Caenorhabditis elegans: one gene and its partner. The protein of the gene in region 1 interacts with the protein of each later gene in a pairwise test. Each region holds a gene or a part of one and is shown in the gene's direction. Other genes may lie near its edges.

Evidence for each region.
Region 2: the proteins of lfi-1 (region 1) and lin-5 interact in a two-hybrid assay, tested with the Caenorhabditis elegans proteins (one study listed by BioGRID).

What each region holds. Positions count from the first base shown.
Region 1 is NC_003284.9:4,979,365-4,984,399, forward strand, and holds the start of lfi-1 (Rootletin-like coiled-coil domain-containing protein), read left to right. Parts: upstream 1-1,875; 5' UTR 1,876-2,131; intron 2,132-4,198; 5' UTR 4,199-4,219; coding exon 4,220-4,532; intron 4,533-4,700; exon of another isoform or gene 4,701-4,702; coding exon 4,703-4,841; intron 4,842-5,035. Other genes in the region: ZC8.6 (Phosphatidylinositol 4-kinase type 2), read right to left, coding at 27-230.
Region 2 is NC_003280.10:7,858,828-7,864,346, forward strand, and holds lin-5 (Spindle apparatus protein lin-5), read left to right. Parts: upstream 1-1,831; 5' UTR 1,832-1,832; coding exon 1,833-1,972; intron 1,973-2,018; coding exon 2,019-2,636; intron 2,637-2,684; coding exon 2,685-3,738; intron 3,739-3,786; coding exon 3,787-3,901; intron 3,902-3,952; coding exon 3,953-4,161; intron 4,162-4,269; coding exon 4,270-4,599; 3' UTR 4,600-4,736; downstream 4,737-5,519. Other genes in the region: sds-22 (Protein phosphatase 1 regulatory subunit SDS22 homolog), read left to right, coding at 1-32, 75-206, 252-480, 527-613, 660-851. UniProt on the Caenorhabditis elegans protein: Essential component of the spindle apparatus required for spindle positioning and chromosome movement. Acts to recruit or anchor gpr-1/gpr-2 complex to the spindle and cortex.

The sequences.
Region 1 (5,035 bases):
TACAATTCCAACAAAAAATTGCTCACCTTTTCCGGTAGTCCAATTCGATGAAATCGTCTTCCAATATTTGGATATCTTGATTGAATTCTCTCCTTCGTCCGTGCTTTCGCCCGGTCAATACGGTCATAGTAGAAAGTTGGAGCCGCCAGTTCAACCACCCCGGTTGGTGGTACGATTCCCAGCTTGAGCTTCTCATCCACAAGTGAAGCTCCAACTTCTGACAGGTATCCCTGCAAAAAGTAATCAGTTAGTCTTGGCTATCAAATTGTAAACATTTATGTATATCATGCATTCTATATGCTTCGGGATTTGTATGTACTTGACACCCCTCTTCCAAGTCCGCCTGTATAACCATATAACCAGCCAAATCGACACATCTACGGCAGGAAAATGGACGACGACTACACATAATTATTTCAGTAGTACGCTAAGCACTCATGCGCCAACACTACCAACAACCTAGGCCCTCCAACAACAGCAGCGCATCATCGAGTTGAATATTATTTCATCGTCCTTCTTTCCCCCGCGATGTGTTGTTCTTTCAAAGTCCATTGACCCGAAAAACCGGTAACGGCAACATACATACACATACACTTATGCCAAAGGGAATCATTACACTTCGCAAATCATTCAGTTTGTAATCCAAGAAGATCTGCGGATTTTTCGTTGTTTTGAGTAATACGTTTGAGTCATTTTCACATCAGAATGGGATAAATGTGCATCGTTACAAAATTCTTGCCACATTTTCTTCGTCGCAATTTTTGCTCTTCGACCGACTTAATTTCTAATTCGCATTCTTTGACAACCTTATTTTCGTCTCCCTTATGTGCACGTTTTCAACAACATTTTGCTCTACTAGAGAGCCTTTTTTCCCTTCATCGACACCAATTTCAATTGGCTGCCATTTCGAGAGCAGAGAAAAGTCATTGACTATGTTGTTTTCTGAGAATCGAAAATGAGTGTCGTGAAAAAATACGATGAGTGGCGGCGGTCAGCGCGGCGCAAAGGAAACCGGCGGCTCACAATTGCTTCGGACCAAGAGAGTAGCAATTATAGGAGTGAGCGAAACATTGGCAACACTGAGCGAGAGAGCAATTCTATTAAAGTCAATGGGCGAATCGGGGTGCGAACCAGCAGCACCTTTCCTAGAATAGCAACCAGAGCCAGTATTCTCTCGTCTCCTTCAATTCTTTTAGGTTTGTTCGATTTGAAAAATGCCACGAAAAATTGTTTGTTTTTGAAGACCAGATGTAATTTGGGATAAACTTTTTGTCTTAAAGGTGGATTGGCTTCAGTGGTTTAAAGCTGCTCATGTGGTGCCAAAATGCCAAAATATCATTGTAAAATAACAACATATTTCTTCTAATTTTCTACTCTAATTGGACTTTAATTATTTGTGTTTAAACATTCTAGCATACCGTAGAAACTGATTTTTTATTCAATTTGGAACTTTGCCTAAAACGTTGAAAAGGTGTTTTATTATGATATCTGATTTGTTTGAATGATTATAAAAAATTTAGATAAAATCCCCACTGACGCTATTCCACCTTTGAGGTCCTTTCAGTTGCAGTCTTCCCGTTTTTTCCAACTTTTGAAAACAATTTCCAAAACGGGCATAAAACCCCTGCAACGCCAAATCCCCGGGAAAATCTTGACAATGGTCGTTTTTTGGTGCGTGTATGTGGTCCGTGTCACTTTTTTGGACATGATGCCAGCCGGGCAAAGGACGACATGCCCATCAAACTTTCAAGCCAGTTGTCCTCCTTTTTTAGTGTGTGTCGGCTATCCTTTTTTGCAATTCTCGCCACACACACACACACACACACACCATCCAACAACAACTCTTTGAACCAAAGCAACAAACATTCTCTCCAGAAATCAATAGTGACAGGGTGCACATACACGCGCCAACCGGCGAACTCCTTTTTTGTCTTCTGGTCGCGCAAGCTTGACAAAGACATAGAATCAGCAGCGGCGGAACAACGAAAAAAGACACGTGAACGATTGAAGCAGACGAGAAGAGAAGAAGAAGAACGGCATCTGTTTAACGAGGGTAGAAACTTTCTCTTCATTGTGCTCGCAGCTCAGCCAATCACCTGCCCTTTCTATTCTTTTCTAAAACACAAATCCGGTAAGGTTTTCCTAAAATTGATTCATGGTCCCCCCAATGAATTGACATATGCATATATATCATCCAGCTTGGCAGCAGCTTATTTTCCTAACGTGAAGGTCGGCACATTTTCTCTCCCTCTTTCATTTTCTCGTTCAACGCTAGAAATAAATCGAAAGAGAATTTGAGTTCCATGTTTTAGGCGACATTCGGTCCCCTGTGAGTAGGAAAAAACATAATATGTGTTGTTTCGGCAATTTTCTTGTTCAAATGTTAGTGGGTGGAGAAGTAGATAAGGGTATTTCCATCACCTTATCAACAAAAAGCTTGTTGCGGAATCAAAGGGGGTTAAAATAACAGTTCGCCTTACTATCGCGATGTTTTTTGTTTCGAAATTCAAAAAGTGTGAAGTGAGTGTAGAGGATTATGTGTGAGACCGTCTTTCAAAACTAATGTTGTTTCCTCAAAATTTATACTTTTTTAGGGAATTAAATCTAGGAAAAAGTATACGATGTTCGTATAAGTACTCAGTCAAGCTCTACTTCCAAACAACTTCCCACTACTCATCCACCATTCTTACGCAACTTTTCAAAAAGATAGCAGCCATCATTAGGCAGTTTCCCAGAATTGAAGTGAGAAAGAGAGAGAGAGAGAGAGAGAGAGAGAGAGAGAGAGAGAGAGAGAGAGAGAGAGAGCACGGCTCAACCGCGGTCTTGTCCTTGCTGGAGCACAACGATCGGCCAACGTCGTCTTCTTCCCCTCTTCCGTATTTCGTTCTGGTCGTTTGTTGTTGTCGACAACAACACAGAGAGGGCGCCCTCCCAGATCGATGGCTCAAGCCACCAGAGTACGCGCGCCCCACTCCAAAGAAGGCGTGGCCCGTGGCGATGGGCAATGTTGATGTCGTCGTCGTCGTGCTCCACTCGCTCTTCTCCATCTCTCTGGCTCACACTCTGTTTACTTGTTTACCTCTTGCCTAGAAAGGGGAATGAAAAAAAAAGAGCAGGCCATCCGCGCGAGCCCGCTCAGCAAAAAAGTCGCAATTGTCCACCCTTCCTTCTCTTTTTTTTCCTCTTCGAAATCGGTGGAAAACTCCAAGGAAGCTCTTGTTTAAGTCATATTTACTATACTTGGTAAATAGGAAATGCAATAGTCACTAGTCACTGGAGCAATAAAATAATGTGTGCTCAATATTTTTCGAAAAACAAAAACAATTGAAGAATTTGTGTTCTCGATTGTTTTCGACACTGCCTTTTCCTCTACTAAAAATTCCTAGTAGCTAAATTTTCAACTTCAAAATTCACATGACTAGTGTACATACCTTTACTCTATTGGACTCTTCCCCCGGTTGCTATGCGACAAATAACGATTCCAGCTTACCCGCGCGCCCTCTCTCTCTCCTGCTCAATCTTCCCGCCTCATTTTTATATGTACATGTATATATTTGTCAAAAATTGGATGGGAGGGGGGGCGAACAAATGAAACATGCAAACAAAATACGTGTTTACAAGACCTCCGACCTACCGAATGCTCACACTCTTCACGACTTTCTTTTTTGAAATTCGATCTACTCAAAACATCCAGAGCGCGCATCTTTTCTCGCTTTCTAGCTCTCTCTGGCAACATGCCCTCCTCGTACACTAAGTCAAAGAAGATTTGAGATTAACTGAGATTAACTATTTCTTCAATATTTCTCCTATAATTGTGAATTTGTAAGTTCCAGTTACAAAAAATAACAAAAAATTTCAACTTCAAGTTCACTTGCGATTTCAATTTCAACATAAGTTTACCGCATTTTTTCAACATAAGTTTACCGCAGTTTTCTAAACAATCTTTTCAAGGTTTTTCGGGGCATAAGAAAAGAGCGTCGCCTTTTCTTTTTTCCATCCACCACATACTTCAATGAGGTGGAATGAAAACAGACTAGTTTCACTCTCTATTCCAACTGTTGCCATCTTCCTCGAAAAATAGAGAAAAGACGACCTCCGCGTAAACAATTTCCAAAACCTCAAGCAAGCTGCCAAGCTGCGTATTCCGGCGTCCTTATTTCGCTTTCCCCCTCAACATTGGCGGAGATAACTATTGCAGCATGCTGATGTGCTCCATTGGATGTTCTTCAGCTGTGGCGTGAATAGCAGCTCCCCAGGTCGTCAACTAGTTGTGAGCGAGTCGGTTTCGGAAGATAATCTACACAACCCATCATCACACGCGCTCCGAACCCTATCCCCGGTTTCACCACCGACAGCTAATTCTAGTAGTTCAACTAGCAGATCTTGCTCACCAGTTGTTCGTGCAGAAACTATCGTTGCTGGCAAGTGGACGCATATATCTGGAAAAGTTTCTGTTAGGCCATTGACGCCTTCTGAAACCGAATCGGTTCTTGACCGTCAACGTCAGAAAAATCGTCGATCTTCTAGAAAAGGTTTATGTGTGCTCTTGATATGTTTTCTTTATGTTTGACTGTTGCAATTTTGAGAATGCACCCGACTTGTAGATAGTTTGAGAAAAATTCAATTTTTTTTAAAATTTGAACCCTTTTTGCTCACTTTCAGTAGTTAGAAGTCTTGATTCATCTTTCTATTCCTTTTATAGACAAGCTCAAAATGTCGACTCACGACGATACTCGAAGCTCTGGTGGAGGAGACGGAACAATTCATATTCCGTCGGCAGATGCCAAGGAGCCAACTCCGGAGAGCCCAGGCTCTCGTTCCAACTACGGAGAATTCTACTGGTATGTATAAATTTATCAACTTTGCCGATGCATGCGCTTTGGCTTGGTGCAGAATCTCTCTCTTCGAGAAATTTTGTCACCAATGTCTTTATATAAAATCTCTCTCTCCCTTTTCACGCCACACATCTCTCCCGTTGTTGTTTTTTTTCTTGTCAAATAATTCCATGTTGTTTTCCAAAATGAACAAAACCCAG
Region 2 (5,519 bases), on another chromosome or scaffold:
AATTTGGTTTCTCTTGATCTGAGCTATAACAGGTGAAGAATTTAAGAAACTTTTATTTCAATAATAACTTTCAGAATACGCCAAATCAACGGCTTGGATAAATTGACAAAGCTCGAGACTCTTTACCTTGTCAGCAATAAAATTGAAAAAATCGAAAATTTAGAAGCTTTGACGCAGCTCAAACTGCTCGAACTGGGAGATAATCGGTAAATATGGAATGTTTCAACATCAAAATCACAAATTGTGTTCAGAATCAAGAAAATCGAGAACATTGGTCACCTTGTAAATTTGGATGAATTATTTATCGGCAAAAATAAAATTCGTCAGTTGGAGGGAGTGGAGACCTTGCAGAAGCTCAGTGTTCTCAGCTTGCCGGGAAATCGTATTGTGAAAATTGAAAATGTTGAGCAACTGAATAATCTGAAGGAACTTTACCTCAGTGATCAGGGTCTACAAGATATTCATGGCGTCGAACCTCTGGTAAAAAGCAATTCAAAATACACTGAGAAATGGGTCTTTTTTGCAGACTAATTTACTTCTTTTGGATGTTGCAAATAACGAAATCAAAACGTTCAGTGGCGTTGAAAGACTAGAAAGTCTTAATGATTTCTGGGTAACCGAGACATTTTACGTTTCTTCTATATCTTTTATTATTGCAGGCAAACGACAACAAAGTGGAAAGCTTCTCCGAAATTGAGCAACTTTCAAAGTTAAAGGGTCTTCAAACTGTATACTTGGAGAGAAACCCGTTCTATTTCAATGATACAAACCAATATCGCAGAAAAGTTATGATGACCCTCACCCAAGTAACTCAAATTGATGCTACTACGTGCAGAAAGCCAATTGAATAACTCTCGGACGCTTCCAATAAATATCCGTTTGCTTTTCTTATCCATGATAATCTTTCATAAATATGTATCAGTTTGCTTCATTGTTTGATATTGAGAACAAAGTGTAAGGTTATTAAGAGGAATCGCAAATGAATCATAATCGACCTCCATATGGGCGAAGCCAATCGAAATGGCCAGATATTATCAGCTAATGAAAATTTAAAAAAAAAACGACTAATCAAGAGTTTGAAAAAGGTTTCATACTTTGAGAATAATGCAGTAGTTTTTAGACGGTGCGGTGAGATTTTAAGAAGAAATTATTTATTCTTCTCGCTAAATAAATATGAACCAAAACCAACTTTCCATGCCTGAAAACTTAAAGTGTGTCAATTACAGAGCTTTTCTTTTGAGAACAATCAAGAAGTTTCCTCGAAAAGTATTAAACATATATGAAATGAAAGCTACTGTAAGATTTTTTGTTGTGAAAATAAAGATTTTATTGGAAGGCGCACTTAACTTTGTCCCCTAAAAAAGGAATGTTCTTTCTTTGTTTTCATTAAATAATTTCAAACTCAGCAATGTGTATACGGTTTTTTTAAAAGGCGCATGCACATAATCTTTCACATGGTTTTATAAATAAAGAATGAAACCATTTTCGCGCGCGCGCGCATTTTTGGTTTTATTTTTCATGTTAGATTCCTCTAATGTTCATTTCAATCAGTGTGTCATCCCACTTTTTAACAGCTTCATTTTTATTTATTATTCGTCCTTTTAATATTTTTTTGGTAGACTTGTGCATGTTGACCTGCAGGTCCATGGAAAAATTGTCATTTGAATTCCCGCTGTTTTTAGAAGTGTCGTGAGAAAAGTGTACGAGCATGGTGTAAGAGACGCAGACATTCTGCGTGCGTCTTTTAAATATTCTTCGTTTATGTATGCGTTCTCTCTCGTTCTTTCGCTCAACCACTCGCATTTTCTTTGAATAATTACTCCTTCTGCAGAATGAGCGTGAGCACATCAGTTGTGAAGTCAATGCTACAATTGACGAACTATTTTGGCTCCAATTTCACACCGAAGACGGAGACAATCAGCTCATTAGCCGAGCTTTGGGAGAGGCACGGGAGTATGATCGCCAGTATGATGTAAGTAATAGCTCATTCATAAACAATTTCATATTTTATTTTTCAGGTCATGCGACACTCGGGAGTTTGGCACAGCTGACAAATTCTATGAAGTTATCTTCCGCAAAATCGCCACAACGAGTCTCAGCTTCATGACCGATTCATTGGAACCGAAGCTTGCAGCGAGCGGAGATTCACTGGAGATTTGCAAATTCTACGCTCTGTTTCTCGAGTATATGAGAAAGGATCACTCGGGAATGCTCACTCGCGCATTGGAGCAAGCGTCATCAGAGAATCGCGTCGACACAGCTGTGCTTCTTGATATGTTTTTGTTTTTCGACAACGTGTATTCGGAAAGTACCGCTGACGACTGGTGGGCATGTCTTCGGAGAGATGACGAAGATCAGGAAGCATCCAGTGGCTTCAGGACTCCGAAAAGGAACAACTACAGCTTGACATCATTGCAAACACCAACAGCTACTGCCCGGCGACTACGCACAGCTTCCTCAACTGCTCGGCGAAGCCCTATAGCGGAGGCTGTCGATTCCCCTACCATGAAGTTCATGCGAAGCGAGCGGGAGCTGAAGCAGTCTAAAGCGAGAATCTTTGGTTTGGAGCAAATGTTAGGAGACCTTGAAGATGACAAGACCAAGTTATCGGCTGAGAACAGAACTTTGAAGCTTTCGTAAGTAAAATGGTACATTGAATTTAAAATATGGAGAAAATATTTTAGGAATTCCGATCTGAAAAGCGACATCGCTAAACTGAAAGGTATCGCCGAGGAGGCACAATTTCGTGCTGAAGAATTGAGCTGTGATCTCGAAGCCAAAAAGGATGAAGTCCACAACATTCTCCAACAACTCAATGAATCTCGAATGACGTTGAGATCCGAGCAAAGAAGTCTGGAGGAAGCTGACATAAAGAAAGAGAATCTTACTGCTAAGCTGAAAACGGTGACCGAAGACAATGGGAAGCTCATGAAGCAGGCCAGAGAGCTTCGAGATCTCAACGACTATGAATTCGCTAGATTCCGTCAGCAGGAACAGGAGCTTACTGAGACTCTTCGGGCGACGCAGGACCAAATGGCTGACCTCCAGGAACAACTTACCGGAGTGGAAAAAATAAGAGCGTCTCTGAAATCTGAAAACGAGAGCCTTTCTGCCAGTGTTGAGGAGTTGAGTGTTGCTTCATTGAGAAACAAACAAGATGCTGACAACTCTAAAACTATGCTTTCCGAGGAACTGGCGCGTTTTGAAGAGACTGTGGACAAACTCCGACAAGAAAAGCTTGAAGCGTTGAGCATGGCCAACTCCAGAATCGATGCTCTTCGTTTGGAACACTCGGAAAGAGAGAAAATGATGAAATCCACGAATGCACGCCTTCAGGCTGACCTTGACGAAGAGAGGAACGAGAAAAAGCGCTTGATGAATCTCTGGAATGAACTGAATGAAAAGTCCCTGAATGTCGACAAAGCTGTACATAAAAGCAACGAAGAATTTCAGTCAATGGGTTCTTGTCTTCAAAATGCGAAAAGACAAATTGAGCAGTTGGAAGTTGCGTGCAAGAGTAAGGACGATATCATCAAATTTCAAGAGGAGCAGAACAAACGAGCTGCCAATCTGATAAAGAATGAAAAGGCAATACGCGATCAGGCCTCAGCTCAATTTGCCGAGAAGTTGGCAATTCTCAAGAATTCTCTAGCGGAAAAAGAGAACGAAACAGTCACCCTTAAAGAAAACTTCGCAAGTGTGGTAATGAAGCATAAAGCCGAATTGGAGGAGAAAGAGGTTTGCTTGTTGAATATCAAATTGAATACAACATTACTTACTTTTTAGCTGTTCCTTCAATCTAGAGTGGATCTGATTCAACGTCTCGAGCACGAAGTTGCAGATCTTCGAGAGAAGGAAAGCGCCGAGATTAAGAAATCCACCTGGATGGGTGAGAGAATCAGTGAGTTCATATTTAACGTTTCGAAATTGAATTTTCAATCTTGTTTTTCAGAAATCTTCCAACAAGCTCCAATGAGAGGTTCGAGAATCAGATGCGGTTCGCCAGACAGCTTGCCAGACTTCCTCGCCGATAATGGACCAACAATTACCGAAGAAGAATTGCGAGCACAGCTTGCCACGTTCCCAAGAAAATCGATTGCTCCTAGTGTGGACGACAACGAATTCGATAAAGGAACACCGATTGGATTCAAGTCGAATATGGTAATCAGTTTATTATTATGCAACCTCAATTTTGTGAGACGAGACAATTTCTTATATAGACGAGACAATTTCTTACCACAAATATTGTCCAGAACGTTCAATTTTCAGTACGATGGACGTGAGTCAATTTGCTCTTTGGATTTCTTCGACCGGTCTAGTCTTCAACGTTCGTCGATGCGATCGGAATCTATCCAATTGGCATCGCCATCATCAGCTGGAGAGTTCAAGCAACCATTCACACCATCCGGAGTAACCAAGGAAAGAGTTGGAGTGCTCACTGCCAGAAACGAGAAAGTGAAGCCACACCTAAAATGCTCGTACGCCTCTGAAGTTGGAAGTACGAATTCGCCATCCGCAGACGAGGAGAATATCAAGAAGTCCAAGAAAAAGAACCGTCGGGATTCGATTTTTTCTGCTTTTTCGAGCAAAAAGCAGTAAAATATACTTTCATACATTGTAATATAACTTTTTCACAACACACTTTTGTTTTATGTTTTGCTCCGTGTTGTATCCTATTTTATCTATTTTACAATTCCTTTCCTAACGATCGCTGAGAAATGAAGAAGTTTCTTATTTTTTATGTGTTCTTGTGAAAATGATTGTTTCATCGCAGTTCTATTGTAAGAATCAGGCCCTTTTCCTTCACAAATCATCGTGCCGACCAGGGGTGTGCGGCGAATATTAGCCGAATTCGCCGTTCGCCGATGATTTTTTCGATTCGCCGAGTTCGCCGTTAGCTGAAAATTTTGAAAATCGGCGTTCGCCGAATTCGCCGTTCGCCGAAAAATCGCCGAATTCACCGTACGAGAATCGGCGAACTCGCAGAGCGAAATTCGCCGTTCGCCGAAAATTTCAAAAATCGGCGAGCGCCGAATTCGCCGATCGCCGAAAAATTCGATTCGCCGCACACCCCTGGTGCCGACGCGTCCCCGTTTGAATTGCCGCCCAGCCGCCGTGGTCGCATTCTCCGCGCCGAGACCCATCGTCGATAAAGGCTGCTCCTTTAACCGCCGAACGCCTAGATATATAAGCTGAGGATCGCTCATTCTGGATCATTTCTTAACCTTTTATAAGTTACGTGTCTTATTGCTCCTTTCTCCCGTTTACTTGTTGCGACATTGCCATACGTCTGTCCCTTTATACTAATAAATGCTTGTAAGATAAACCTCGCGTAGCTTGTTATGATAAACCCCACATCCTAAACCTTTACTCTATGGACGGCACCAAATTTGAAAGTATTATCCACATATTGTGTAGTTGTCGCAAAAGTTTTTTCGAATTCTCCTTTTCGATAGCTTCTCGTATAATAATTAGCTGGAATGTGTTTAATTAAAAATCAACGTTTGTTTCTTCTTTCT